Linked DNA regions of Diceros bicornis minor. The protein of the gene in region 4 interacts with the protein of the main gene of each other region in a pairwise test. Links are inferred from orthologs where the notes say so. Each region holds a gene or a part of one and is shown on either strand. Other genes may lie near its edges.

The links.
Region 1: the proteins of SDCBP2 (region 4) and ZRSR2 interact in binary tests that used the Homo sapiens proteins (3 or more experiments, as listed by UniProt). The two-hybrid records come from large-scale screens. The link is inferred for Diceros bicornis minor from reciprocal best matches to the Homo sapiens genes SDCBP2 and ZRSR2.
Region 2: the proteins of SDCBP2 (region 4) and SREK1IP1 interact in binary tests that used the Homo sapiens proteins (3 or more experiments, as listed by UniProt). The two-hybrid records come from large-scale screens. The link is inferred for Diceros bicornis minor from reciprocal best matches to the Homo sapiens genes SDCBP2 and SREK1IP1.
Region 3: the proteins of SDCBP2 (region 4) and ZCCHC17 interact in binary tests that used the Homo sapiens proteins (3 or more experiments, as listed by UniProt). The two-hybrid records come from large-scale screens. The link is inferred for Diceros bicornis minor from reciprocal best matches to the Homo sapiens genes SDCBP2 and ZCCHC17.

What each region holds. Positions count from the first base shown.
Region 1 is NC_080781.1:12,970,313-12,977,437, reverse strand, and holds the start of ZRSR2 (U2 small nuclear ribonucleoprotein auxiliary factor 35 kDa subunit-related protein 2), read right to left. Parts: upstream 3,006-7,125; 5' UTR 2,991-3,005; coding exon 2,788-2,990; intron 2,644-2,787; coding exon 2,564-2,643; intron 1-2,563. UniProt on the Homo sapiens protein: Pre-mRNA-binding protein required for splicing of both U2- and U12-type introns. Selectively interacts with the 3'-splice site of U2- and U12-type pre-mRNAs and promotes different steps in U2 and U12 intron splicing.
Region 2 is NC_080759.1:12,124,476-12,131,744, reverse strand, and holds the start of SREK1IP1 (protein SREK1IP1), read right to left. Parts: upstream 3,014-7,269; 5' UTR 2,867-3,013; coding exon 2,854-2,866; intron 1-2,853. Other genes in the region: spliceosome-associated protein CWC27 homolog, read left to right, coding at 3,492-3,533. UniProt on the Homo sapiens protein: Possible splicing regulator involved in the control of cellular survival.
Region 3 is NC_080752.1:46,266,075-46,273,129, forward strand, and holds the start of ZCCHC17 (zinc finger CCHC domain-containing protein 17), read left to right. Parts: upstream 1-4,042; 5' UTR 4,043-4,111; intron 4,112-7,055. Other genes in the region: SNRNP40 (U5 small nuclear ribonucleoprotein 40 kDa protein), read right to left, coding at 1,277-1,406, 3,646-3,789.
Region 4 is NC_080758.1:29,372,485-29,379,465, reverse strand, and holds the start of SDCBP2 (syntenin-2), read left to right. Parts: upstream 1-3,961; 5' UTR 3,962-4,019; intron 4,020-6,981.

The DNA.
Region 1 (7,125 bases), on a different chromosome or scaffold from region 4:
GGTGGTGGGGGTGTGGGAGGGAACATCCATCCTTACAGAAGAATGGCAACTAAAATATGTAGCAAAACTTAAGTAGAAAAGTCATTACATTTGCAACCCCACTGTAAGAACGAATTTAGACAAAGTTGCTAAAAACATTGGATGAAAGCTTGTTGGAAAGAGGATACTTATTTATACCATCTCAAAATATCAGCCCACAGATGAGTACTAATTACAAAGCGGGCAACATCCTTTACAATGGAGCACTATGATTGGCAACACTTTGACCACACTGAGCATCACTAGGAGTGGAACAACCCGCCATTACAGGCCCCCTGATGTATGCAATGAGAGGTATACAGCATCAGCTTTGTGGTATTTTGCCATAAAGAGTGTAACCTGAAGCTAATCAGAAGACAGACTACTCCAGAATGCAAGGCATTCCACGAGACAACTGGCTTGAGCTTTTTAAAATAATCAATCTTGGTTTGGGAAAGTTCAAATATGGCTCGTATATCATACCATCGAATTACTGTTCCTTTACTTGGGTGCAAGTTTGGTATTGTGGTCCTTATTCTTGGGAGATGCAAGCTAAAGTACTTAGGGATGAGGGGTCATGATATCTGCAACTGACATGCAAAGGGTTCAGAAAAATTTGTACACATATATCTATCTATATGTAGAGAGAGACAGTAAGGCAAAATGTTACAATTGGCAATCTAGGTAAAGGGTTCATGGATGTTGAATGTACTGTTTTTTCAAATTTCTGTACTTTGGGACATTTTCAAAATAAAAACATGGGAAAATAATTTAATATAATAACAACTTAGATCTCCTCCTATTCAGAATTTAAATTTGAAAAGAAAAGGAGGGAAACTGAAGTGATCTTAAGGAAATGTAACAGATCTCAGGCTTGAAGGAAAAAGATTTTGTGTCTATCACATATATTGAGTATAAGTCTAATCAATACCAGTCCTAGATAATTACAATAATTTACTTTTATTAAGCAAGTAAACTTTATTATTTCAGCACCTGAAATTAAAAGAAAAATAGGTAAAAAAAAAAAATTTAAGTTCTAACTCACCTAGAACAATACCTAATTATTCAGATAATTAAATGATCTAATGTTCGTAAAGAGCCTTCCAGGGAATCTGGCACAGAGGCTATGACTGACTGACTTACAGAGCTATGCCCATAGATTGGACACTGCCTGCACACAGCTGATACTCAAAAATATCTGTTGCCTGACTCACTCAACCCCTCATCCTCCCTCAAACCAAGCTCACACATTCTGCAGAGGTGATCACTAACAGTTCTGGATGTAGCATTTTCTCTACACCTACAATCAAATATATGCAAGGATACATATAAGTACAATGTATCTATACATGTATCACACATGTAACTATACATGGAATCCTGCTATAGTTTTGCAACTTGCTTTTTTTCCCCCTTTTATCCCTGATGCTTTATCTTGCCTCTAGTGGACCAGTTTTGAACGAACGAAGAAGAGGTGCTAACACAGGTTGCAGGTAAACACACTGCTCCTTCCATTCTAAATAGTCCAAGTACTGCTACTAAAATAATTACTCGGCAACTCTAATGGTAAATAAAACCTCTATGGCTATGTTTCTAAAGGCCTGAGGTTCCTGGTTACTCGAGGCCATGGTCTATGGACTTCAAGAACTGTCTAGGATAATTTAATAAGCATATTCTGGGTAATCTGGATGGCAACCATTATAAGCCAGTATGCCTGTGTGATTTCAGTGCTTCCATCTGCATTTACAACTACTATATAATTTTATAACTAAGTTAGCAGTACTAACTTCATTATATTTAAACAGGTAGGTTTGATATAAATGTTAGATTCTCCCATGTGAAGGCCAGATGATACCATGGCCAGTACAGATGAAGGTTCCACAGTATTTTAACAGAAAAAATAGGTAGTAAATAACCACAGGGCAACAGTAGTAGTGGCATTCCAAACTCCAGTCAGTATCATATTCATGCTGTGAGCATGTTTCCCATCGTCCCTAACATTACATTAATGTAGATTTGAATTTTACTGGATGTGTAACTTTACTTGGTTTTGTAACTTGTAAATATATTGTTTCATAGACAAATAACAGTTTCATAACTAGTTTTATGCTTATATATATTTAAATAACATTAATAATTTGAGTCAACAAAGGGTTTCTTATATTATTCAAGTTCGAGAAAAACTTGCAAAATGTCTGAAACTCGTGACTCCCGCTGGTTATACAAAGAAAAATATTCACCAAATACTTACTATGTGCAAGGGCTGTGCTAGCTGCTGTAATTCATGATGCCTGCACCTGTAATATTAGATACTTTATAAATACTTACACACCATCAGCGGGTGATGATTTACCATGACTGTTTCCCCTTCTTTAGTATGTTAACATTGTTTCTGATGTGGGTCTAACATAATTTCACTTGGGAGGCAGTAGCCACAATTCTTTATCTGATACAGTACTTGGCTTCTTTCTGACACTGGGGCCTCGAGTTACGAAGGGAGTGGGGAGAGCAATTTCATACACAGAAAACAGAATGAGTTCGTTACCTGAGTCTCTCAATCGAGCGAGTTCCTGCCGACGTTTCTTTCGTTTCTCCTTCTTCAGGGCGGCCCTGTACTTTTTGTGGCTGGAAAAACGAGACAGGCACACTCGAGCGTCAGTGGTCGCACCTGCAGCGGTGCCTCAGCTCCCCTCTCCTCCGCACCCACTGACAGGAAATCGCCCGGGTACTCAGGAGTAAAATCTCGCTTCCCGTGTTTTAATTACAGACCATGCATTTACCACCGCCTCGCCCTTCCACGCCCAGACAGACCGCAGGTCTTCACCATCCCGCCACCTGTTTCCCTGCTCGCCTCCCTGAGCCCACGGACGCCCGTGACAGTCTGGGGCGCACTCCTGGAAGGGCTCGAGCTGCTGCGGTAGCTCGCTTGCTTGGCCCAGCTCCTCTTTCCTTCCTGCCTGCACATCCTCCATGCCCAGCCTCGGCCCGCTCCGTCCCCTCTTCCCGCCAGCTCATCTCCCCCAACCCAGCTTACCTCGGTTTCCCCGGAAACATCATCTCCTCGGGCGCAGCCATCTTGCCAGCGCCGCCACGCCCCCCAGGAGCCAAACGGAAGAGGCGGGCTTAAGAGAGCGCGCGGTGGCGCGCACGCGCAGGTGCCGCGCGGCCTCTCGCCGGCGGGGAGCGTGCTTCTCTCCGGGCGGACCAAAGACGGAAGACGGGAGGTTCCTGTAGGTGGCTTGTCTTCCAAAACCCTGCACAAATAAATGTCTCCTTCCCGAAAACTCCTCTGGGGCTCCTGCCGCGCCCTGGAAGTGATTCTACCGTCCTAGCGTTTCCCCAGTGCTTTATCACTACCTCTCCCCACACCATAGGCGTCTTGTGGACAGGAGGTTCAAGTCACACTTCTCACTCTTTTCCCTTCATCCGCTCTCGAAGCCTCGTCCCACATACAGCCGCAACCCTGGGTTCCCAGTCGGACTTATCCAGGTTCCGCCTCCTTCCATTCACACCTGCCGGCTCTGTAGGCGAACCTAACTCCTAGGGTTGCAAAGGTGCAACCTCTGCTCCCAAGGAATTTACAATCTAGAGGCCGAGAAGGACCATTACATAGATTAGATAATATGGTACAGGCAACTACGTTTACTTAACATAGTCCACCTGGGGATTCAGGAAGAGCTTTCTGATGTCTGAGTTTGAGTTTTGAAGACAGATGGCGTTTACCCAGGTGGAGAAGGGTGGGAATTGAATTGCAGGTAAATCTGCATAAGCAAAGGCACTGAGAGGTGAAACTGGAATCTGCCAGAACCGCAAGAATTTGGCCATCGAATTTAAAAGGCAATTCGAAAGTATCAAGGAATATAGAGGTAGAGGTGGGCTGGGAATAGGGGGGCCTAGTATGTCATGCTAAGAAGCTTTAATTACGTTCTGTAGGCAACAGGGAACCATTGAAAGTTTTTACATTGAGGCTTGTTCTGGTTATATTTGTGGTTTAGGTAAATTATTCTGGTTTGCAATATAAAGGATAAAGCTGGAATATCACAATCTAGGTGAGAGGTGACAAGGAATTAAACTGAGGCATTGAGAGTAGGTACTGAGAAGGTAAAATCAGCCCTGCTAATAATTAGACTGCGATGTACATGCACAAGGCCAGGGACAGACCAAGAAAAAATGTTTCTCCCATGGACAAGTTGCATCTGCAAAATGATTAACCCCGGTCTTTTGAGTGACTGGATAACTTCCCTAGCCTAGCTTTGTTCCTCTCTCCTCCAAATCAAAATTACTGAGACACCCAATTACTAAACTGCCCCTGCTTCCCCTAGTCCCTCCTTGGAATCATTCAGCAGAAGCCCAAACACTGCATAAAGCCTTACCCTACTGCCTCTTATAAAGACACTTGCAGTAACACACCTCCAAGTTGACCTCGTCCCGCTCAGTGCATCAGTAATTAGGAACATAGACTTTGGAGGTGGATGGACTAGAAACTCAAGCCTTGACTCTCTGATCTTGAGTAAATTCCTCAATGTCTAATCCTCAGATTTCTCATCTGTAAAAATCAAGATAATAATAATAGTTATTATCTTGTGTGCCTGGCAATAGTTAGTGTCCCCAAAACATTAGCTGTTAGAACATCATCATCATCATAGGTGTGAAAACTTCCTGACCCCCTGAAGTGTGGATTAGGTACCTGTCCTGCATGTGCTCCAGCACAAGTATCTCACCTTTTATAACACCTATCATACTATATTGTACTTTGTTGTCTACACAAATCTGCTTCTTGCACTAAATCTTAAAACTCCTTGAAGGTGGAGACTTGACACTTATAGCCCCTAACTAGAGAAAGCCTCAAGTAGCACAAAATGTAGCTGTGCAAATCACCAATTTTGCTAGTTCCTGTGACCAGGACTTATGCTGAGAATTACTGCTATTCTGAAAGCGTCAGTGTCTGGGTTGCTGTAACATTTCTTATGAATTAGACCAGACCTTCATATCAGAACAGTAAGTAAGAACATCTTCTGGGAAGATACTCCTAATTAAAAAAGGATACAGACTTAGATTTTATTATCATTTAGAAATGAATGTAAATCTCCTTTTATAGGAGTTAGGCATTTATCTTCAACAGTTAACCACTGAATTCAGTTTCATGAACAAGCTTGAGTTGCTCAAGTTAATTTCATTACAGAAGTTACTCTAAAAGCCAATTCCATTTCCAAACTAGAGTTACCATCATTTGAATTTGATAAATCACAAGATAAAAATAAGGTATGTAAAAATTTAATGCAAAGATACATTCTACTATGATATTCTGATAAATAGAACAAAGTTATCTTTATTCTGCAACATAACATATATTTTCTATTTTTCTTGGTGCTTGAAATACAACATCTACTTATTCTTAGGTATGTGTATTTCAGTTCATCCCCCCTCTATGGGAAAATGACTAAATTTTTTTTACATTGTCAGTAGAAAATAGCTGATTATCTTTAAAAAGTTAAAGAAAATATTTTACTTATATAAATGATGTAACAGATACTATCACTAAAGATGTCTAAATTGTTATAAAATGATCAAAGAATAATCCATAAATGTATTTTTCATTTATTGCAAGCATAAAGGGAGACCAAGAAAAAAAAATCTACTCTCTGAATGCCAGGTTGGGACTCTTTCAATTAATTTGTTTTTTTCTTGCTCAAGTGGGACAATGGTACTAGGATTCATTAAATAGTCGACGCAGAAATTCTCAGGAAAGAACATTTCATTTCTTGCCTACCATTAATTTCAGTATTAGTCACTAGATTTATTCAAGGACATAAAGTGAGGTCTCAAGTCCTTTCCAACCCTCATTGCTATGCCAAGGGCTTTATATATTTTCCAGATTATAACTTAAAATAGAAAGATAAAATACTTATGAATGCATATTAATGTGAAAAATGCATGCAAATCTATATTTGTACAACTGATTAAAAGTTTTCTTTGGAGGAAAGAACTATCCAGTGATAGTTCTTATTACTTGATTCTTTTGTCTAGTGATAAGCTCAAAGCAACACAACTGCTGGTGGTTTGAGAAGAAATGGTGGCAGAGTCCATATCCCCACCCAGAACCCAAACCAAAGTACCAATTTTAAAGAGTGGTTGAATTCAAAAAGCAGGAAACAAAATATACATAGGGACAAGTGTCATAGTCCTGCCATTACAATATACCATAGACTGGGTGGCTTATAAACAACAGCAATTTATTTCTCACAGTTCTAGAGGCTGAGAAGTCCAAGATCAAGATGCCGGCAGATTCGATGTCTGGTGAGTACCTCCTTACTGGTTCCTAGAAGGCTGTCTTCTCTCTGTGACCTCGTATGGGAGAAGGGGTGAGAGAGCTCTCCAGGGTCTCTTTTAAAGAGCACTAACCCCATCATGAGGGCTCCACCCTCATGACCTAATCACCTCCCAAAAGGCCCCACCTCCTAATACCATCACATTGGGGGTTAGGTTTCAACGTATGAATTGTGGAGGGACCAAACATTCAGTTCCTAATAACATGAATGCATTACTATTTACATGTTAAGTAGCCAGTATTGTTTATATGTACTAATTATATGGTAAAATTAGAGCTTATTTGCTTAAATGAACTATATCCATTTTTGATCAATAAAATTTTACATGAAAGAACTTAACCAACAAAGTTGGATTAAAAAGACAATAAAACATTAAGCAGAATAAACATCAAGTAAATGATGTTGATTCTTCTAGTGATGCAGAAAAATACCTAAAGTAATTACAATACTGTATTTTTGCTAATATCATGCCAAAAGAATTGTCCCCTAGTGAGCAAGGAAAAGACATCTTCCTAAACGTTTTTTGAGGCAGATGCCTGGTTTTAGAATAGCCACCTTTACCCTGACCCATGTAGCCCTGGCAAAGGAGAAAGGGGCTGGCAGCTTGCCCTATCGGTGATGTTAGCAGATCGATTGTGCACTGGTTTGACAGAAGGGAGAGCTAAGGAGGAGCGGGTGGTTCTTTCCATTCCTGTTTCTCTAATAAATCCCTTAGGAGTTTTTTAGTCACTTTCTGATCTACATGTTAAAGGATGTCTCATTAATTTTACAGACATCT
Region 2 (7,269 bases), on a different chromosome or scaffold from region 4:
ACAAAATGCCATGATGAATCCATATGAGCATTATACCTAAAAATAAAAGAGCATAACATAATACTTGTCCTTTTTGATGATTATCTCAAAATGTTTCTGATGGAGCCCCATTTTCCTTTAATACACTGTCTGGATCGATCACTCAAGAAATTGTCTTGATATTTTCCATATCTATATTTTCTAATGGCACTCGCATTGTACTTTTACAGCGCTGTCATACCTATTATCTCAATTTTTGCTGGGTTTAAACAGTTTATCTATGTCTGGCCATCTAGCTTAATGGCACAATTTAATATTATTATACTTTGAAGCATTATTTTGAATTGAAAGAAAGTTAACATAACTATAACACTGGTCTAAGTTTAAGGGAATTTCAATAAGGACAAAAAAATCACTTTTGTCCTTTTTCTTAAGCAGCACATTTTCATTAGCAGACAAGTTTTATGAGGGCACAGACCATGACATTGTGTCCCCGAAAGTGCCTATACCATGTAGGTGCTCAAAATGCTTAAGTCATGAAACCAACAGTGACAGCAGGTCAACTTCGGACGCAGCTGTGTGAGGCAAAGATCACCAGGGCTGATCTGGCAATCTACTGTGCAGACTGGCCTTTCCCTGCTGGCCGTTTCCATGTTGATATTCTCCAGGCTTCAGCCACAGACCTTCCCTTCACCCTCTACACACTCTACCTGAGCAAAGGCATCCACTCCCATGGACTTAACTCCTATTATATGTGTGGATGACACCAAATTGTTCTTTGACTCGGGCTTCTTTCCTAAGCTACAAATTTTATCCCTTATTGTCTATTAGATATTTCCATTAGTATGTCTGACTATACCTCAACACAAGGCGCAAACTGAAATCATCATCATGCCGAAACCTGCTCTTTCTCAGGTGTTGCCTATGTTAGTAAATAGCCCCACCTAATTGCCTAACAATGAAACCCAGGTAATACCTCATTCCTCTAGTACTCACCTACATTGACTACATCACCACCGATTCCTAGTGATTCTACCACCAAAAATATATCTCCAGTCTATCTGCTTCTTTCTTCCTAAGACTGTACCTGAGGTATCATTGTAACTTACCAGAATTACTCCTAACTGGTGACTGTGCATCCAAACTAGCTCCCCTCCAACCTACTGTGCAGCCAGAATGATCTTTCCAAAATGTGAATCTGTTTAAAAACCTTAAATGACTTCCCCTGGTCCTTAGGAAAATGACCAAACTCTTTGTTATGGCTTACAAGGTCCATTAAGAGCTGGAAACTACCATGTAAATGACACTATAACAGGGCAAAATGGATAAGCACGTGGGGTCTAGAGGAGCCAGACTGATCTGTTACTTACTAGCTGTATCAATAGGCAAGTTACTTGATTTCTCTGAGGCTCAGTATCCTCACTGTAAGATGGAAATATTAATATCTATCTCACAGTGTGGGTGTGCATATTAAACTAGATGAAATACAATGCATGACACAGTATCTGACAGATCTGACACATAGTAAATGTTTAGTAAATATTAGCTACTGTTATCATCTCTCTAGTTAATGTCTCACTTCTCTCCCATTTGTACTCTGAGTTCCATGCATAGGAACATCTTCATTTCCTCTTCTCACACATTTCTTCTTCCTTTATGTATCTAGTCCCTCTGGCTGCAACTTCCCCTCCTACCACTCCACCCCTCCTGCATTCTTCAAGTCTCATCCTAAATGCCACATCCTTTGGAAAGTCCTTCTGTGCACTCCCTGTCTCCTGTTAGATGCTCTTACTATGTGCTCCTGAAAGCTTTGTATTTTCCCTACCATACACTTGTCTGACTTTCTAGTACTTTCTCCTTACAGCCAAATTGTAAATTCTCTGTGAAGAGCAAGTGTCTTGCTCACCACTGTATTCCCAATGCCTAGCACACAGTAGGCACTTAACACAGATTGTTATGTGTATGAATGAGTGTGTCTTTCCTCTCTCACAATTCCCCCCCACCCCCGTGCTCCTCCCCAAACTGCAGTTGGTAGAAAAGCACAACCCTCCCATAACAGCTATCTGTAAAATACGGTTCAGAAAAGGCTGCCACAGAACAAACATGCTCAAATAATACCGGGAAGGGCAGGTTAAAACAAGATTGGGGGGGCAGTAAATGAGGGGGGTGTATATTTCTCAAACTATCTCCTGCAACCAGTGTTCTGCAGAACACATCGCGGCAAAGCTGGTTTAAGGAGATGCCCTCCCCTTCTAGAACTTCCAAGTAAGCCGGTTGCTGTGGACGGGAAATCTCTCAGGCACTTATTTCGCAGGGTTCACTGTTTTTAAGTCAGTACCGACTGGACCCAGAATCTGAGAGCTGGAAGGAACCAGAGACATAAATCAACAAATCTCCGTTTACAGATGCAGACACTGAGGCCAAGAAGGGCAAAGCGACCGGCCCACGGCCACACAGCAACTGAATGCAACAAGCAGAGAGAGAAGAACCCCAGGCGCCCATCTCGTCCCTGCGACTTGCACTACAAACAATGCCTCTGGCCGCTGGGGTCGGTCTTTCTCAGCCACCGGCCCCTGGGCCTACGGTTACCGTCCCCCTCTCCTCCCCATGCCACCCTCCCTCCGCCACGACGCACCGGCCCCGTAAGCCATCCAGCGCAACTGGAGCTTGGCTGGCGCAGGGGAGATCGTTTCTTTCTTTCCTTCCGCGTTTATTTCCGGAGTGTAAACTTTTTCACGTAAACCACACGAACCTGTTAATTTTAACGCCTCCGCTTAAATCCCCATGGGCGCCACTCCCTGGTCCAGCGCGCCCCAACCTACCCTGCCCTCTCCCTTCCTCGCCCAGACCCCGGGGCCTGCCGTTGCTCGTCACCTGGGACTGCCATGGCGCTGTGAAAGGGGTCGCAGGAGCCCTAGGATTTCGAGAGCGCGCTCGCTTCCCGCCGGCCGTGAGGACAACGCACAGCTAGGGCGGCCTCTTCCTCCCACCCGCGCCGCGGCTCCTAGATGACAGTTCGGGGGGGGGCCCCTATAATTCTCTGGCGATAGCGGAACCAAGTAACCACTGATCCAGCTTCCGGGGGACGCATATTGCAGCTCACTCACGGTCCGAACCATTACTGCCAGCTTCGGGAGGTGAATGAGACCTGCACACGCATGTAGTGAAGTAAACAACACCAAGACTTAACGGATCGTTCTTTTTAAAATTGTAATAGAAATTAAATTAATCTACAGCGGCTTAATAATCTTTTCTCCTTTCTTGGAGGCTATCAGAATCCCCCTTCTCAGGGTTAGCGGTGCTCGGGTCCGGGAACAACATGGCGGCGCCCGTGAGGAGCTAGCTTAGGGAAAAGATAGCGTTTGGCGTCGCTGTCTTGCAGGATATTGACAGACTGGAGCTTTCCGCGACCACCCGACTTAAGGAAGCCTGTACTAATAGGTGGACAGCTTTAGTGATCGGCCGTCCGCTCTCATCCCCAATTGAGAGCAGAGTCTTGAGGACTGACCAGCATGAGCAACATCTACATCCAGGAGCCTCCCACCAACGGGAAGGTGAGAGCCTCGTCTGGGATACCTGGGCTCCCCAAAGTGATACCTCACTGACGAAGGGAGTCCTGGGATCTTAGGGTTGTGAGAGATCACAAGAAGTCTTGTTTTTACCCCTGCCTCTGAACAGGATTGCCTGGAAACCATCTATTGGCACTTCTCAGCATATACTTGAAAAAGTCCTCAAGGGAAGATTGATTTCTCCATCTACCAGCCTTCTGGCCCTATTTCTTGCTTTAACCTAACTCATGCAGGTGTTTTCTAGAGTCTTAGGTAAAAACCTAAGTACAAATTAAAATTTGACATTTTTCGCATAACTTAGAGATGGCTCTTTCTCCGTTTATTGAACGCCAGCTAGGCACCGGGCACTTATTAGGTTCTGGGGATACAAATATAGATGGATAAGGTCTAGTTGTTGCCCTAGAAGAGCTTATGGTTTAGTTGGGAGGCAGGCAGGTAAAGAAAAGCCTTAGGATATGTCTGGTAGGTGTGCTTATGGAGAGAGGAGCACATTGCTGTGCTATTACGGAGAAGTGAGCAGCTGGGAAAGTAGGGAAAACTTCATGGAGGAGGTATCTTTTGAGCTGGTCTTAAAACATGAGATGATTGTTAGAGAAAATGGGGAATGGGAAATGTTCCCACATTAGAATGATTTCCTGATTGATTTGACAGTCAAGCTATGTCAATTCCCATCCCAGGTGTTTTATATGCAGTATGAGGCAGAGAACTAAGTAGTGGAAGGAATATCACCTGAATTCTTTTTTTTTTTTTTTTTGTGAGGAAGATCAGCCCTGAGCTAACATCCATGCCAATCCTCTGCTTTTTGCTGAGGAAGACTGGCCCTGAGCTAACATCCGTGCCCATCTTCCTCCACTTTATGTGGGATGCCTTCGCAGCATGGCCTGACAAGCGGCGCGCGCCCGGATCCAAACTCCGGCTGCCAGCAGCAGAGCTCACGCACTTAACTGCTAAGCCATGGGGCCGGCCCTGGCCTTTTCTATCTACTTTCTATGAAATAGCAAACCTCATTCATCTCCTGCATCCCAGCATTCCCTGGCTCCCTAAACCCTTTTAGTTTTTTTCTGCAGTACTTATTATTGATTGTTTATTGTCTCCTCCACCTGCCCCCATAAAATGCAAGTACTGTGAGGGCAGAGACCAGCATCTAGAAGGGTGCTTGATACATAGTAGAAGGAGTTCAGATATGTACTGGATGAATGGATGAATGGATGAATTAATACTATGTTTCTCTTAACTTTTGAGAAGTATTAAACATCAGTGACTTTGGGGTTATACTGCTGCTGGTCAAGGGCAGACTTAGTTGCTTTACTCTGGAGGAAGATTTGAGGTGGTCATAAAGATAAAAAGCTTTAACAAAGATACATGCCTGAACAGGAGATCTTTCATTCAACAAGTATTTATTGAGCGCCTAGCTCATGTGGATCTATGCTAGGTTTTAGGGATACAATGGAAAGAAAAACCAGCATTGTCTCTATTATCATGGAGTCAGTTGAGTGAAGTATACATTGACCGAATAATCATGCAAATAAGTCTGTGCAAACTGTGATCAATACAGTCTTTCTTCTAAACAGAATTGGGCTGAAGGAGAACATAGGCCAAATTTTCCTTCAAGCACAGTTTGGGACTTTTTTCCAGCTGAGGGGTGATTGAAGACATTGAAGCTTCAAAGTTCTGTACTATAGAGAGTATGGCAAGAATTTTGGCCTGGAATGAATTTAATACAGATATAATAAGCTTGCTCAATGAATGTTAGTTTAGTACCTGTGGTGTCTAATGCTACGTTAGGTACTGAAAGGATACAGAGATATTCAGAATAAATGGGACAAAATTCCTCCCTTCAAAGAGTATAGTGTCAACTTGGGAAGTAATTGACGTATTATACCAGTGGTTGACCCCTGGCAATTGTCCATAAATGTGCTGTGTTTTGCTGTAATGCTATAACTCTGGCCTCTGAAGATGAGGCACAGAAATATACCACTTGATAGAAATTTCCTTATCCACTGGAGATGAAATCTCCACATATTATGATCATTTAATCTAAATTATATATTAACATGTGTTTATTCTTAAGAAGCATTTTATTATCAAAGTATTGTCTTATTTGGGAGCTCTAAGAAAAGGAGCCACCGACGCCTGACAAAGTAGTGATGGTGAAAGGAGGGAGCTGTGTGCCTTCTTTTTTAATTCAGTAGCTTCTTGGTGGAAAGATTAAGAAACCCTGGTAAACAAGGTGGCCCAACCATGTATGCATTCTTTTTACTGGATGTAAGTTTGCTGTGGCCAAAAACATTGTATGAGAATAATAATTACAACAATACTAGCTACCATTTTTTGAGCATTTCCTATTTGTCAGGTACTGTTCTAAGTGGTCTACATATATATAATAACTCATTTTGGCCTTGCAACAAACCTATGAGAATATGCTTATGCCTGTTTTTAGATAAGGAAGTTGAGTCACAGAAATGTTAGATATCACACCCAAGGTAACGAAGCTAATCTTACCTTCGTAAGTGGAATGGTCAGTATTTGATTTTGGGCAGCCTGACTCCAGAATCTGAAGAGGGAGGGCTGATGTGCAGTAGATTGTTCTTTAGGACAGTGGTTTCTAAATGAGTGAGTGCACACTTAAGAGGGCTGCAAAACCATCCATGGAGTGCAGGCAGAAAATCTACTTACTTCTGTTTGTATTTATTTTCTCCTTTATTTGTTTAAGTGCAATATTTTATACGTAAAAAGGAACATATAAATTCAGTTACTTCTGTTTGTATTTATTTTCTCCTTTATTTGTTTAAATGCAATATTTTATACGTAAAAAGGAACATATAAATTCAGTTACTCGTTCAATCACTTTTTATATATCATGAAGTATTTTTTCCTAATTCTTTGCTAAGTGGATTTACATTTCTTGGTATCTAGATTAACTAAACCAGCCCTCACAAGTTTCGTATTGAAGATAATAATGTAAATAAAAGCAAACCATAAGAAAATGGTAGAGCTAATGCCTCAGCATGAGAAGTCTGTCAAAAATTAGAAATTGTTATGTAAATCTTTTGAAATATGGATTTCTATTTATTATTGTTAATGGTGAACATTGTCTTAAATGTATATTGTGCTTTAACATATTTATCAGTAAGAATATAAAGCCATTGTGATTTTCAAGACATTTAGAAACTAAGTGTATAGAACAGGAAGATGGACCACTACAATTTGAAAGCAACATTATGCTAAGTGAAAGAAGCCAGCCACAAAAGGCTACACGTTGTATGATTTCATTTTTATGAAATGTTCAGTGGGCAAATCCATAGAGACAGAAAGTAGATTAGTGGTTGCCAGGGAATAAGAGTAGGAGGAAATAGGGAGTGGCTGCCAATAGGTACAGGGTTTCTTTTTGGGATGATGAAATGTTCTGGAATTAGATGGTGGTGGTGGTTACATAACTCTCTGGATTATATTAAAAACCACTTTAAAAGGGTAAATTGTTTGGTATGTGAATTATATCTCAATAAAGCTGTTATAAAAAAAGTTCATTGTACTGTTAGTAAAGAAAATAGAATTATTTTAAAATAGTGTTTTTATGTAATCCTTTAAAATTTTTATTTTGTGTGATCTTTTATAATATAATATTAAAGTAATATAGTACCACGTGTATTTAAATATACATATTTTGGGAATGTGTGCTCTAAGTCCTTACCTCCCTTCTCTTCTTTGTTAATAGGGATTC
Region 3 (7,055 bases), on a different chromosome or scaffold from region 4:
AAATTATACTCCCTTGGAACACTACTGGTTCCACCAGCTAGACCAATTCTCCAGACACTAAAACAAAAATAAAACAGTATTTTCACTTTTCATAAAGTTAAAAAAATTTCGTTAATGGATATAATTTTTTAAATCTTAAGTTTTTTTTCTGTAATTTTAAAAACGTTGACACTCACTACTACTTGTCTGCTCTGAGTATATAAGCGGATGGCAAAATGATGGCACTTATGGAAAACCTAGGAAGCTGCAACTGACTTGAAAGTCACATAGCAATGATTTTATACTACATTTACTCATTCCACAGGTACTAAGTACCTATTACGCACCAGGTGCTGGGGTAAAATGAGGTAAACAAATAGACATAGCTCCTATCCTCAGGGAGCCTGGTCTAGCAAACAGTGAAGTTTGGTGAGTATTATTAAGGAGCACCTTCACACAGGAGAAGGTACATATGTAGTTATTTTTCTGCTGATAAAACTGTTTCTAGTTTGTTTGATGAAATTAAGCATATCAGTAATTCAAGGATGTTCTGCAAAGATCCCTAAGCCTTCCAGATACTCGGCCGACCAGTAAATTTAAGGATTACAGAACTAGAACATCTAAATCAAAACACTGAAGACAGATATCATCCACCTTGAGGTACAGAGTTATAAGCAGAGCCAAAGGACTCAATTCATCTCACAATGTGGCAAACGATGCCAGAAGGCAAAAAGTCAGATGTTTCTGTTATCTTCTCTCTTGCTTTTCCTAATGACTCCCCAAACTGATTTTTTCTACCTATTCCTCAAAAACGGGTATTCCCGACTAGTAGCTGAGAATTTGGTAGCAGATCCTAATGATGTATAGGTAGATTATCCAAGCGAGTTGTCACTTTAGGATCCCTTCCTTCCTTCCTATATGCTAAGATTCTGAAAGTGGATCAGGAGGAGAGCCTCATACCTTTGGGAAAAAGTTCTCTATTACTCCCATTAACCTGTTAAACATGGATCTCTTATCTTGCAAAATCAGCTCAAGATTTGCCTCCATGAGGAAGATAGTCTCAAACTACAGCAACTCACCTTCTAACTAGTAACGTAATTCCTTCTGTATTTACCACATGGACCCCCAAGTTCTACACCCAAGATTATTCAGCATTTTCTTGATCCTATTTTAGCATGTTAGCTGTAGTTTGTCATGTGACCAACTCAGACTGATACCTTCTGTGGCACTGAAGGTTTTAAAAATAATCACTATCGGGAAGAGAGCGATCACTCCAGATTCAAAAACTATGCCTTACATATTAGTCGGTCAAATCCTGCAGATGCTAAGGTGGATCCATTGGGGTGAAACTTGCAGCAGTACACTTCCCCTTCATGTCCTGAGAGAAGCATGATTGGGGCTTGAAGGGAGGAACATCTTGGAGGGCCCTACACAAAAGAGAGAGGTACAGGGTAGTCACTGCATACAGACCAAGGAGGCTGCACAATTGTGGAGGCGGGGGTGGGTGGAGGAAAAAGACAAGGGAAACAATGAGTGAACGAATTTCTTCTGATTTAGAGAATGACAGCTCTTCTCACATAACTTACACCTCCAATTTGATACTCTCCTGCTGAGGTTTCCAGGGTCTACCTGTTATACTAACACTCCTCCTTCCTCACTCTGCTCCTGTCCCATAGCCAACTTTTAATTGCTCAAACATGTTAAGCTCATTTCTGCCTCAGGATCTTTACACTTTTGTTGCCCCTGACAGGAATCCTCTTCCCCTAGATCTTCCTGTGTTTGGCTCCTTTCAAATGTTTCCTCTTCAGAAAGTCTTTCCTGGATCATTCAAACTCAAGCAGTGCCCCACTGCCCCTCTAGTCCATGAACCCTACTGTATTCCCTCACAGCACTTATTACTACCTGAAATTACCCTCCTTATGTATTTGTTTACATATTTTGTCTTTATTCCCTACTAGAAAAGAAGCTCTGTGAGTGCAGGGCCCCTGCCTGGGTCATTCAACACTGTTTTCCCAGTCTCTAGTTCAATTAAAGAATGAATGATTGAACTGAGCTTCCCAACAACCCTGCAAGGTACAGATTATTGGGGAAAGTAGTTTTGATTATGGTCTCAACATAAGCCTACTCTTGGGCAATTCACCGAAACCTGGGCTGATATTCTTACTTGTCAGTGGAAGAATAAGTACACTATCAATAATCCCCAAATCTCTTCAGTAATTTCCAGCTTACTCATTTATTAAGAAAAATACTACGTGCCAAGCACTGTTCTAGGCACTGGGAAAACAGCAGTGAACAAAATAAACAATGGAGTTTGTGTTCTAGTGGGAAGGAGGGAGGGACAGAGAGAACAACTAGAACCTACAGATGGTGGTACAACAGAAAAAGCAGCAATGTGGGTTAGTGAGTACTAGGTATTGCAATTTAAAATACGCTGGTAAGGACAGTCCTCACTGAAAGAGGGATATGTGAGCAAAAATTTGGAGATGTGTGTAAACCATGCACACATTTGGAAGAAGAGTATTCAAGTAGAGGGAGCAGCAAATGCAAAGGCTGTGAGGCAGGAGCACGGAAGCCAGTGTCACTGGAGCAGGGTGAGCAATGGAAAATTGGTAGATCAGAGACGTAAAGGCAAAGCCGGCAAAAGACTGTAAGGATTCTAGTTGTACTCGGAGTGAAGTGGAAAGCCACTGAAAGTTTTCAGCAGAGAGTAACATGATCTGCCAGTTTAGAAGAACTCCTCTGGCTGCTGGATTGAGAATAGACTGATTACATAATAGCAGAAACAGGAATACCAGTTAGGACTCTACAGCAATAATCAGATAACAACATAATAGTATATAATAATAATAATGAGATAATAATAGCTTAGACCACAAGTTAGTGATGGAGGCCACAGCAATTCTGTATATATTTTGAGGACAACACCAAACAGGATTTGCCGACCGGCTGGTTGAGGAGTTGAGAGAGGGGGGACACACATGTATTTCTTCATCCGAGCCTAACAGCACGGAAGGAAAGATGTGATCATTATCTCTAACCTACAAGAAATGCAGTTAAGCGCATGGATTCTGGGCTTAAAATCTGTTTCTATCACTTACTAGATAAGAGTTTGTTTTCCCAGCTACAAAATGGGATAATAATGGTTCCTAACTCTTAAGCTGTTACCAAGGTTAAAGGAGTTTTCACATATAAAGCACTTGGTACAAGGGCTCAATGAAGGTTAGCTATTATTCAGTTGTTAATACTAGTGCACAGAAATAAAGGGAAAAGCAACTTGCCCAAAGTCCCAAAGCGATCCAGTATCACTCATTTCCTTCTTTCCTTCCTTCCTCCATCCATTCTACAAACTTTTCTGAATGTTTACGCCGGATCCTGGAAGATTTAGGATGCTAACGCCGGTTTTGAGCTCAAGATCCTTAACTCTAATTCTAACGCCACCTCACAGGGCGGTCGAGACGCCGAAAACCGGCGTCAAACGGGGAAACGTGAGGAGCATCTGCAGGGTGTCGGCCGCTTTTACAACGTTTTCGGCTTTAACTCCAGATACCGAGTCTCCTTCCGCCCCCACAGCGCGGAGAAAGGGCCGCCGCGAGATCACCCGGCGCAACGCTCCGAGGAGAGAGAAGGATGAGCCGAGGGCGGAAGGCCGCCTGCCACTTCACTCACCGCTTGCAACAAAGCTCCGGGCGCCGCCTGCTGCTGCCCCGCTCCGGGGCCCGACCCCGCGGCTCCCAACAGCAACTCATGCCGCTGCCGCTTGACCGGGACCAGCGGCAACTCTGGACCCTTGCGCTTCTGCTGTTCTATCATGGCGGCAACCGCTCTCCTTAGCGCAGCCACTGACCGCGCCGACACCCTCAGGCACCGCGCGATTGGCTCCGACTTAGTCCTTCCCCTAGAACTTCCGGCTTGGAGGAACCAATCGACTTCCAATATTCCCCTCTGCACCGCCCCCTGGATAGTCTCCTGTTATTGGTTAGCTGTCTCTGATGTCACGAGAGTACGATTCCAGGATTGGTGGATGGAACTGCAGTCCCGCCTAGGCGCGCTGTGTCTTGTGGGTGGAACCGCGCTGACTGGGTTGCGGCGTTTCGCGCAATGCTGCGGCCGGGGGACCTGCAGCTGACGGAGAGTAAGTAGGAGGAATGTCGGGGTGGGTGGCTGCGGAATCTGGAGGCGGCGCCTCGGTGATATGGTCTGAGCCTGCCCATTCTCAGCTGAAGTTTTGATTGCGAGGGGCGGAGGCGGGCCCCAAGGTCCTGGCTCTGGGGGGTAGTAGCCTGGTTTCCTTTCTGTGCTGGAGCAGAGCCTTGGGGGTCGCTGCGGCTGCCTGGGCACCTCGACGCCGGACTCCTTCAGCAGGCGGCTACTGTGTCCAGTCCGGTGCCGGAGGCCCCCGGGGAGAAACGGCCTGGATCCTCTCTGAGTGAGGAGGCCGACTTGTTTCTGCCACTGATTCTGCAGCCTCTCCTAGGGCCTGCTCTGTGTCCCTGAGAGAGACAGGGACGGAGGAAAAGTCCGACTCTTGCTTCTCCAGAGCAGTCTTGTTGAGAAATTTGGACTTATACCTGTGAAATAGATCTTCTCCTTAATCGTCCAATTGATATTTATTTGGCAAAGCATTGAGGATATGTGATCCCTGACTTCAGCGGTTCGAGTCTGGTGGGGAAAACAGATGTTAAACAATGATCTCCCTGAGAAATGTGAAATAAGTGCCGTCTAGGAGAGGTGCCTGAGGTTATGAGGGCCTGAAATAAGCAGAAAGGCTTGTCTGAGGAGAAGATGCCTGAACTGATGCCTGAAGAAAGAATTCTAATTAGTTGGGTGAAGAGAGGAAGGCAGAATATTCCATATAGAACAGCATGTGCAGAGGCCCTGTGGCAAATGGGAGGAAAATGCCTCAAAGGCACAAAGAGGCCAGTGTGGCCAGTGCAAAGAGAATGAAGGGAAGTATGGTCCAAGATGAAGCTGGAGGCCGGTAGAGGGCAGACCTTGCAGGACTTTGTAGCTTTTATTTGAAGACTGATGGGAAACCACTGAGGGTAGTTTTTTGAGGGGGAGGGAGTGTGTGGAGGAGGTAACTTAATCCCTCAGGCTCAGTAGTGTGAACAGATCTGAAGAGAGATAGATGCAGATAGACCCTTTAAGTGAGCGTTGTTGGCGGTGTAGACTGAAGTATTGGTGAAACTGCAGAGAATTGGACAGATTCTAGAGATATATGGGAGGTAGGGTCAGTAGGACTTGGCGATGGCTTGGATTCAGGGAGTGAAAAGAGAGGAATCACAGATAACTCTTAGGTTTTTGGCTTATGCAACAGAGTATTTATTTCATTGGTAGAGAAGGGAGAGGTCATTCATGACTTCAGGAGGCAATTTGAAATATGGCTTTGCAACTCAGAAGAGAGATTTTTGTTGGAGATATATATTTGGGAGTAATTTGCATATAGGTGATAATTGAGCGATAGGTGTGGGTAAGATCCCCTAAGTCAGAAGCTTGAGTAGTTCCAGCATTTAATGTCCAAGAACAGGAGGATGAACCTACAGGAGAAGAAGAGAAAAAAGAGCTAGAGAGGAGCACCAGAGGAATGTTGTCTCAGAAACAAGGAAATGGCCAGTGTCAGAAACTGGAATTTAAAAAACACGAGAATTGAAGAATGTGTGTTGGCTGTATCATCGTGGAGCTCATGGTATCCTTAGCGAGAGTTATTTTGTTGGTGTGATGGGGCCAGAAGCCAAAGATTCAGGCAAGGGATCGGAGGCAGTGAATCTAAAGAGTGTTTTTCATACATATGATTGTAAATGAGAGGAGAGGATGTGGAAGCCGAAGGAGATGAGGGGTCACCAGGAATCCACTTGAGAGGGCGATGGAGAAATTGAATACACAAGAGACAAATTCGGTCATTGATAGTGTTCTGAGAACATGGGAATGGATGGGATGCAAAGTACAGTTAGAGGGAGCAGCCTTGGGAAGATGGACAGTCCTCCATTTAACAGAAAGGAAGAAGGAAGTGAAGGCAGTAGATATAGGTTGTTCTTATGTTTGGTTTTGGTAAAATGAGTTCCTTTCTCATGGTTTTTATTTTCTCTGTAAAGTAGGAGATAGGATCATATACTTAGAGTGAGAGGAAGTCAGAGATTTGAGAAGGTTGCAGAAGATTTGAAAATCATTGTAGAGTGTGTGGGAGAATGGGTTTACCAGAGAGATGTAGAATTGTCGTGCAGAGTTATGGGCCCATATGAAGTTGGGGATCATATTTTATTTCCAGCAACATCAGGCTCAATGCAGACATGGAGAAAACATATGCAGATATGGCAAGGACCGTGGGTTTGGCTTGCTCAACACACATTCCCACCTTTAATGTGCCTTCTCTTACAGAAAAGTCTGGGGTGCTAAAAACTATTTCCTGGCTCCTTTGCACCTAAGATGAGAATTGAATTTGGAACTGAGTTAAATGTGGAGAGAAGGAGTGTGAGAGGCATCCAGTTTTGCTGGCAAATATTATGGTAGAGGCAGTGAGTTTCTTTAGTCAGCAGCTTTCTGGTTTAGTGACTTTCTGCAATGATAGCCATAACTTTCTTGATTGTGACAAAGACTGTGTTATTTTTTGGGTTAGGAGTTGTTCCTGGAAGTTCTACCAGAACTTCCTATAGCCCTTCCAGTAGTTTTGTAAGCCGATACCTGGCAATAAATCCTTTTCTGCTTAACCTAGCTAGAATGGGTCCTGGTGTCTGCAGCTGGTGGGGGTACTGCCAGATAGGTGAGCCGTAATGACAGAGAGTTAGGGGGAACTCAGGGTGTTGTTTGAATGATAGACTGTGGAATCTAAGCTGGAAAGAGAGAAAAGTTGAGGTAAAAGGAGAGGGCTGATGGATTAGAAGAAAATAGAAGTCAATAGATCAGGGTTCTAATGAGGTCAAAGAACAGTATTCTCTGCCAGAGGACTTCCATTTATCCTTAAAGGCCCACTCAGTTGTTACCTTTTAAACTTCCCTGCTTCCCCTAGGCCCTTCTTTTCCTCTTGTTTTCTTAGTACTTTGAACCTAGCTGCTGTTTTAGCACTGATCATACTGCATTGT
Region 4 (6,981 bases):
GCCTAAAAGTAGGGATTTGAGTCCAGGCAGGCTGGATTCCACAGCCCATGCGATAAGCTGTGCCCCCTTCAGGATATCATCACTTTCGGGTATCCTGAGGACATTAGAGGTGAGGGTCTCCAGCCGGCGTCCATGCTTCCAGTCAAAGGCTGAGGCACTGGGTGGGAATATGTGACGGACAAGTGTGAGGGAGTGGGGGACATCAGCCAGTGATGGGTCTCTGACTCACTAGGGCCCCCAGCTGCCACCTGGGAAATCTATGACTCAGCTGTGGGGATGGGAGACTCCTGGAGTTCAGGTGGCTTCGTTCCGTTCTCAGCACAGGCCTGGCCTTACCACTGGGCTGTGTGGCCTTGGGCAAGGTGCGTCACTCTCTGAATTGTGCTGTGAAGGACAGCTGAGACGGGGTTATGCCCCGTGCCCAGCAGGAGCTCCCCCTGTTGTAATCACTCGGTAGTGTGGAGGCAGCTGTGGTGACGTACCCTGGGTTTTGCCACAGCCAGATTCCACGCAGAGGGTAGGAGTGCACAGCTGGTGCAGCTCCCCACCCAGCAACCATCCCCGCTTCTTCCAGGAAGGGCATCTCCATTTTCACTTGAACAGATGACTTGTGCTTCTGTAACTTGTAGCTGGGCTGATTCCAAGAGGAAGTCAGAAACTTACATCTATTGAGTGCCAGTAGTGTCCCAGGCACTGTACATGATGAAATCATTTAATCGTCAGGACAAGCCTGTAAAGCAGGCTTGTAGATGTGGAAACTGTAGCTCAGACTGATAGCCCAGCCCAGCCCATCTTTTGACCAGGAGTGAGCCTTTCAGTTTATAACTAAGAGTGACTTTTCTTGGAGGGGCATTTATTCATTCAATAAATATTTAATGAGAGCCGACCGTGTGCTAGGCATGGTGCTAGACCTTAGGGATAAGATCCCCACCGACAAGCCCCCACCCTCATGGCGTGCCCACTCCAGATGGCACAGAGGTTTCTCACAGGTCAAATCCAGGTGGCAGCAGCTGCCTGTCACATTATGAGGATTCTGAGCCAGCTCTGGGCTTGGCAGGGTGCTGTCAGGGAGTTTCTGCGTGTATGCTGCATGTTGGATACCCGTGTTTTAGACTTTTGAAGACTACTCATACAAATGCATATAACAAAGCAGAAATACATCCTGGTCAGAGCACAAGTTCCAATTTTTATTTTGAAAATAGCCACTGTAGATCTAATTAGTAGGCCCTGCCCTCAAGGAACTTAGGGTCTAATTGGTAGCCTAAGGTCCACAGGAACAGGACAGCCTGACCCAGAGCTCAGAGCTGGGGCAGGCCACACAGATGCGGATGATCAGGGAGGCTTCCTGGAAGAGGAGCTCAGTGGACTTGGCTAGGTGGAGTGGGGGCAGGGGGAAGGCATTTCAGGAGAAAGCAGCAGCACAGGCAAAGGTACGGAAGTGTGAAGTGGGTGTGAGGTGGAGGTGGGAGAAGAGAGGATTCTGGCCTGGCTGGGGTAAGGTGTTGGGGGAATGAAGGTGAAAAGGTAATAACAGGGGTGGACCACGGAGGCCTCAGTGTCAGGCCTGACCCTGCCCCTCCCCCTCCACCCCCTTTCACTTGGGAACCACGGAAGACTCCGAGCAAGGGCATACCCAATGAGATATTTCTTGGTGCCTGGAATAAGGGGAGAAGTTAGAAATGGGAGGTGGCTATAACACCATGGAATGAAAAAGGGCCCCTGCACGCAGGTGGGGGTTAGGGGACCTGGCTTCCAGTCCCTCGTCTATGCTGACGTGCTGTGTGGCCACAGGCAAGGCCCTTACCCTTCTGGGCTGGTCTCCTTCTCGGTCTTCTCTTAACGGCCCTTTCAGACCATGACTGAGTGAACTCAGGTGTGTGTGTGGGGGGTCACTTGGCTCAGTTAGGGTCTCCATTTTCTACTTTTCTTTGGCCTTGAAGACCTGGACTAAGGCGAGTCCACCTATGGTTTACCTCAAGCTTCAGGCTCCTGTGGCTCAGCCCTAGGCTGTGTCCACGCCTGAGCTTCCAGAAGCATTTGTCTCACAGAAGAGAAAACATGACCTTGGAGCCACTTTCTGGCTGTGTACTTTGAGATGGACTTGGCCTCTCTACTTACCTCACAGGCATGATACACACCATGGAGATAGTGCCTTTAAAGCTGCCGGGCACACAGGCAGCACCTCTGCGCTCAGCGGGCAGTAAGTGCTCAACTGGTGGCGACTGCCTTTCTTGCTGTTGCTCCTATCGGGGCTCCTGTGTGGGACTCTCGGCTGTAAACTTCTCAGAGGCTGGCAGTGTCTCCTCCATGGGGCTGAACACCAGCTGGGCCCCCAGGCAGGATCTGACACCCAAGGCTAGTGCACCTCTGCCCAGCTAGTCACGAGGACTGTGACGTGAGTCTGCCTGGCCTGGTGAGCAGCCCCACCCTGGGTGGGGGCCCTGCGTCATTCCTCATGGGACTGCCCAGCACATGGGTCCCAGGCCCTCCCCAGGCACCATGTGTGACAGGCACCTCTGTCCAACCAAACCCACCAGGACCTAAACTAAATTCCTCCCCCTTTTCTGTTTAATTTTATATGGTTCTTTTTGGGATAGGTAATACATTCAAATATTTCAAACTTTAAAAGGCACCAAAAAGTGTGCTATAAAAATAAACCCCCTCCCAACTCAGCACACAGCCCCCTTAGTTCCCCTTTCTGGAGACAACCAATCTAAATTCCTTTTTTTTTTTTTTTTTTTTAAAGATTTTATTTATTCATTTTTTTCCCCCCAAAGCCCCAGTAGATAGTTGTATGCCATAGGTTCACATCCTTCTAGTTGTTGTACGTGGGACTCGGCCTCGGGTTGGACAGAGAAGTAGTGCCTTGGGGCGTGCCCGGGATCCGAACCCGGGCCGACAGCATCAGAGCGCGCGCACTTAACCGCCAAGCCACGGAGCCGGCCCTAAATTCCTTTTTTTTTATGGTGAGGAAGATTGTCCCTGAGCTAACATCTGTGCCAATCTTCCTCCATTTTGCACATGGGACACTGCCACAGCATGGCTTGATGAAGCCGTGTGTATGTCCACGCCTAGGATCCAAACCCTGCGAACCCCAGGCTGCTGAAGCGGGGTGCACGAACTCAACCACTACGCCACAGGGCCAGCCCCCTAAATTCCTCTTTAAAACAATTAAACTTAATTTGCTGCTCCTCCCTTAAAAAAATCGTAAGTATTCAAAGCAAAAACTAACTTCAAAACAAAACAAAACAAAATCCCACCACCTTGGAATCTACACAAAAGTACAAACCAAAAATCACACCCACAATCCCACCACCATCCAGATTTTCTGCACTTTAGTATATTTCCTTCCAGACTGTTTTCAGTACTCATCCACTTTTCAAAAACGAAAACCAAACCCAAAATCAGAACCGCAATTCTGATTTTTCAATATCTTGCAGTATCTCAGGAACATTTCCTCATGGTGTGTTTCCTTAAGCGACTTTAACAGCTTGGTGAACTTCCATAGAAACTGGCTTATTGGGCCAGACCCTAGTGATGGGCATTTGGGATTTCCAGATTCCCCTATTATAAGCCACACAGCGATGGGCCCTCATTGCCTACTTGTTTATTTTCTTGTAACAAGTTCCTAGAAGCAGCAATACTGGGTCACAAGGTTTGGCCATTTTTTAAGACCCTGGATACCCATCAAACTCCCCTCACATTCAGCAGGACCAGGTGTCCAATCCAAATCCACTTTCCTCAAGGCCAAGTCTTGTTCACACCCCTCCCAGCAGCAGCTGTGTGTGCCCCCAACCCACCTCCACTTCTAGAGTAAGGCCAAAGTCCTCCTCCAGGCCTGGCCACCTGCCTTGTTTACCTGGCCCATCCCAGTCCCAGGTGAGTCAGCTGAGCAGGGTAGGCGCCACCCTTCCCAGAGCAGGAACTCAGCTGGGACAAGGGCCACCACTTTCCAGGGAGAGGAACAGACACTCTGGGCAGTGGCGGGAGAAGGACGTGCAGCAGCAGCTGGCCTGCAGGTAAGAGCTGGGCTGGGCCCGTCGTGGCTGGGACAGGGAGAAGCGAGACTTGCTCTTACCTGCCTCATTCCCACCCTGGCCCGCCCCTTCTGGGACTTCCAGGCAGTTTCTTCTCAAGGTGCTTCACTCTGGGAGGGAAGTATGACTGGGGTCTCCTCTTCTGACTCCAGCCCTGGGCCAGGAGTGAGGGCTGAGTGACCTTTATCCAAACATCACGAGGGCCCCGGCTCCTTCTGACTGCGTATGACAGTGCTCAAGGAGGTCGGACCCCCACTTTGCTCCTTGAAGTAGGCCTTGGAAGGCCAGGCAAAGAGCCAATCCTCAGCTTCTGTTACTCACTTCTTTGCCTGAAGCCATTTCTACCAACAACGTCCTACCATGGCAGGGAAAATCTGCTGGGGAACTGGGCCGGTGGCCTGACCTCTCTGAGAACTGGTTTCCTCATTTGGAGACTGGAAATATCCCCACGCAATCAGAACTGAATGAGATAATGACCTAAGACATCAATATGTGCCCTCCACACAGCAGTTTCAGAATATGGTGCTTAAAATGAGGCTGCTGTGTGCCAGGCCGGCACCACACTGGCTGCTTCCCACCCAGTGGCCCAAACTAGTAACAATTCTAACACCACCATGGCTTCTCACCTAGGCTCCCTGCGTCCACCCTTGCCCCTCTAGTCTGCTCTCCAAACATCAGCAGAGGGGGCCTGTTAAAATGGAAGTTGGACCACGCCACCCTGCTGCTCAAAATTCTCCAGTGGCTCACATCTCACTAGAGTAAATGCCAAGTCCTCACCATGCCCCAAAGCCCCTACAGGATCGGGCCCTCACACCACTTCTCCCACCTCCTCTCCGGCTACTCCCCTCTGAACACTGACTTAGTCTCACTGGTCACAACAGGCACTCCCACCACAGGGCGGCCACAGCGGCTAAGCCCCAGCCTGAATGCTCTTCCCTACCACTTTACTCAAAAGTCACTCTCCACCCACCTTCCCCGCCAACAGTGAGACTCTTCTGGACCTCCTGACAGTCTCTATCCCCCATCCTGCTCTATCTTTCTCCCCATCACTTCCCACCATCTAACACAGCATACCCACTTATTTATCTACCTAGAAAGTGACACTCCGCAAGGACAGATTTTTCTTTTGTTCACTGCCTTATTACTGGTACCTAGAACAGTACTGGGACTTGGACACTCAGTACATGTACTGAATAAATGAACAATAGCTAACGATTACTGCATGCCCTTTACGTGCTAGGTACTGTGCTGGGTGCTTTCCAAACACATCTGACCTCTTTTTAAGAATCTTTTAATCTCCACAGTAACTCTGTGATGCAAGTATTGTTACCCATATCACAAAGGAAGAAATGACACTCAAAAGGGACTTGTCCATGCTTGCTCTCCCGTCAGAGGCAGCAGTCTGAACGCGGTACTGCCTGCCTCCAACATCCTTGCTCCTGCCCTGGCCCTCCTGGGCCTGGACTGGGAGCCTCTGCATTCCTTGAAGTCCACAGCTCTTCTCCAGCAGGCAGTACAGCCCTGGGGGGAGGGGGTACATGCTGGTGGCCTAGCAGCAGCCTCTTCCTTCCCACCCCTCCATACCCCGGGGCTAATGTGGCCTTCTAGGAGCTACTCCTCTGACACTCTAACCCATGCCTCCCTCCTGCACAGTCTCCTGAAGGATGGATGAGGTGTCCACAGCAACAAGTGGGAGTCCCAGAGTTTCAGCTCTCTGGAACAAAGTGTTCTGAAGGAGTGTTCTTATTCCAAAGATGGGGGCTGCCAGCCCCTGCTGATCTCTGAGGACCCGACTGCTGCTTTGTTGTGGGTGTTGGTTGTTATTGCTTATAATACCAAAGAGTACAGAAGCTCAGGGATGGAAATTCTGCAAAGCACAGCGGGAGAGGAAAATGCCTCTGGGATAGATGGGTTAGATGGCTTCTTTTCCTTTCAGAGGAGCCAATTAATTGCCAGAAGCCAACAGCACTGAAATTGAGCAAACTCTTCCACTGTCAGATTGTAGGAGCCAACCTTTCAATCTACCTCATTGGGGCAGTGGTTTTTCTCTTTCTAGGCCCAGGGTTTTCCTTTAAAGGACTTTTTTGGGCTTTCCTCTGCCCTCTGTGTCTGCTTTTGCACTCCTTTAAGAAACAGGGGCCGGCCTCGTGGCTTAGCGGTTAAGTGCGTGTGCTCCATACTGGCGGCCCGGGTTTGGATCCGGGGCGCACACCGACGCACCGCTTGTCCGGCCATGCTGAGGCGGCGTCCCACATACAGCAACTAGAAGGATGTGCAACTATGACATACAACTGTCTACTGGGGCTTTGGGGAGAAAAAGAGGAAAAAAAGGAGGACTGGCAATAGATGTTAGCTCAGGGCTGATCTTCCTCACCAAAAAAAAAAGAAACAATAACGCCTGCTGTATGCCAGGCACTGGGTGCAGCACTGGGGATTCAGAAATGAGCCACATTCCTGACCAGAGAGGGAGACAGGCAAGAAATACAACACAGTGGAAATCCAACCCAGGAAATGCAGGGGGCCTTGATCACAGGAGGTGCTTAATAAACATTAGTGGAATGAAGGATCAACAGGTGAATATGAGATTCTGTGGTCTAGAAATGGGAGGCTTGCCTAACTGTGTGTGTGTGGATGTGGGGATTTGGGGGAAAGCTTAGAATTGAAGGAAGAGCAGTTCACCAGATGAACAAGGGGGAAGGAGAGGGCATTCAAGACAGAGGCATCTGCAAAAGCACGTAGGCGTGAACTAGCAGGGTGAGTTCTGGGATCAGCAGTGTGGAATGTATTAAATGCAGCGTGAGTGTGGAAGAGTGAGGAGGTGAGATTGGAGATGGTACCAGGAGTCGGAGATTTGAATGCCAAGTTGAAGTTTGAGATTTATCCTGAGGGCAAGAGCTGGGTATGGCTTCAAGAGCAGGGTAACTCCCAGACTTCTGGCTCAAAC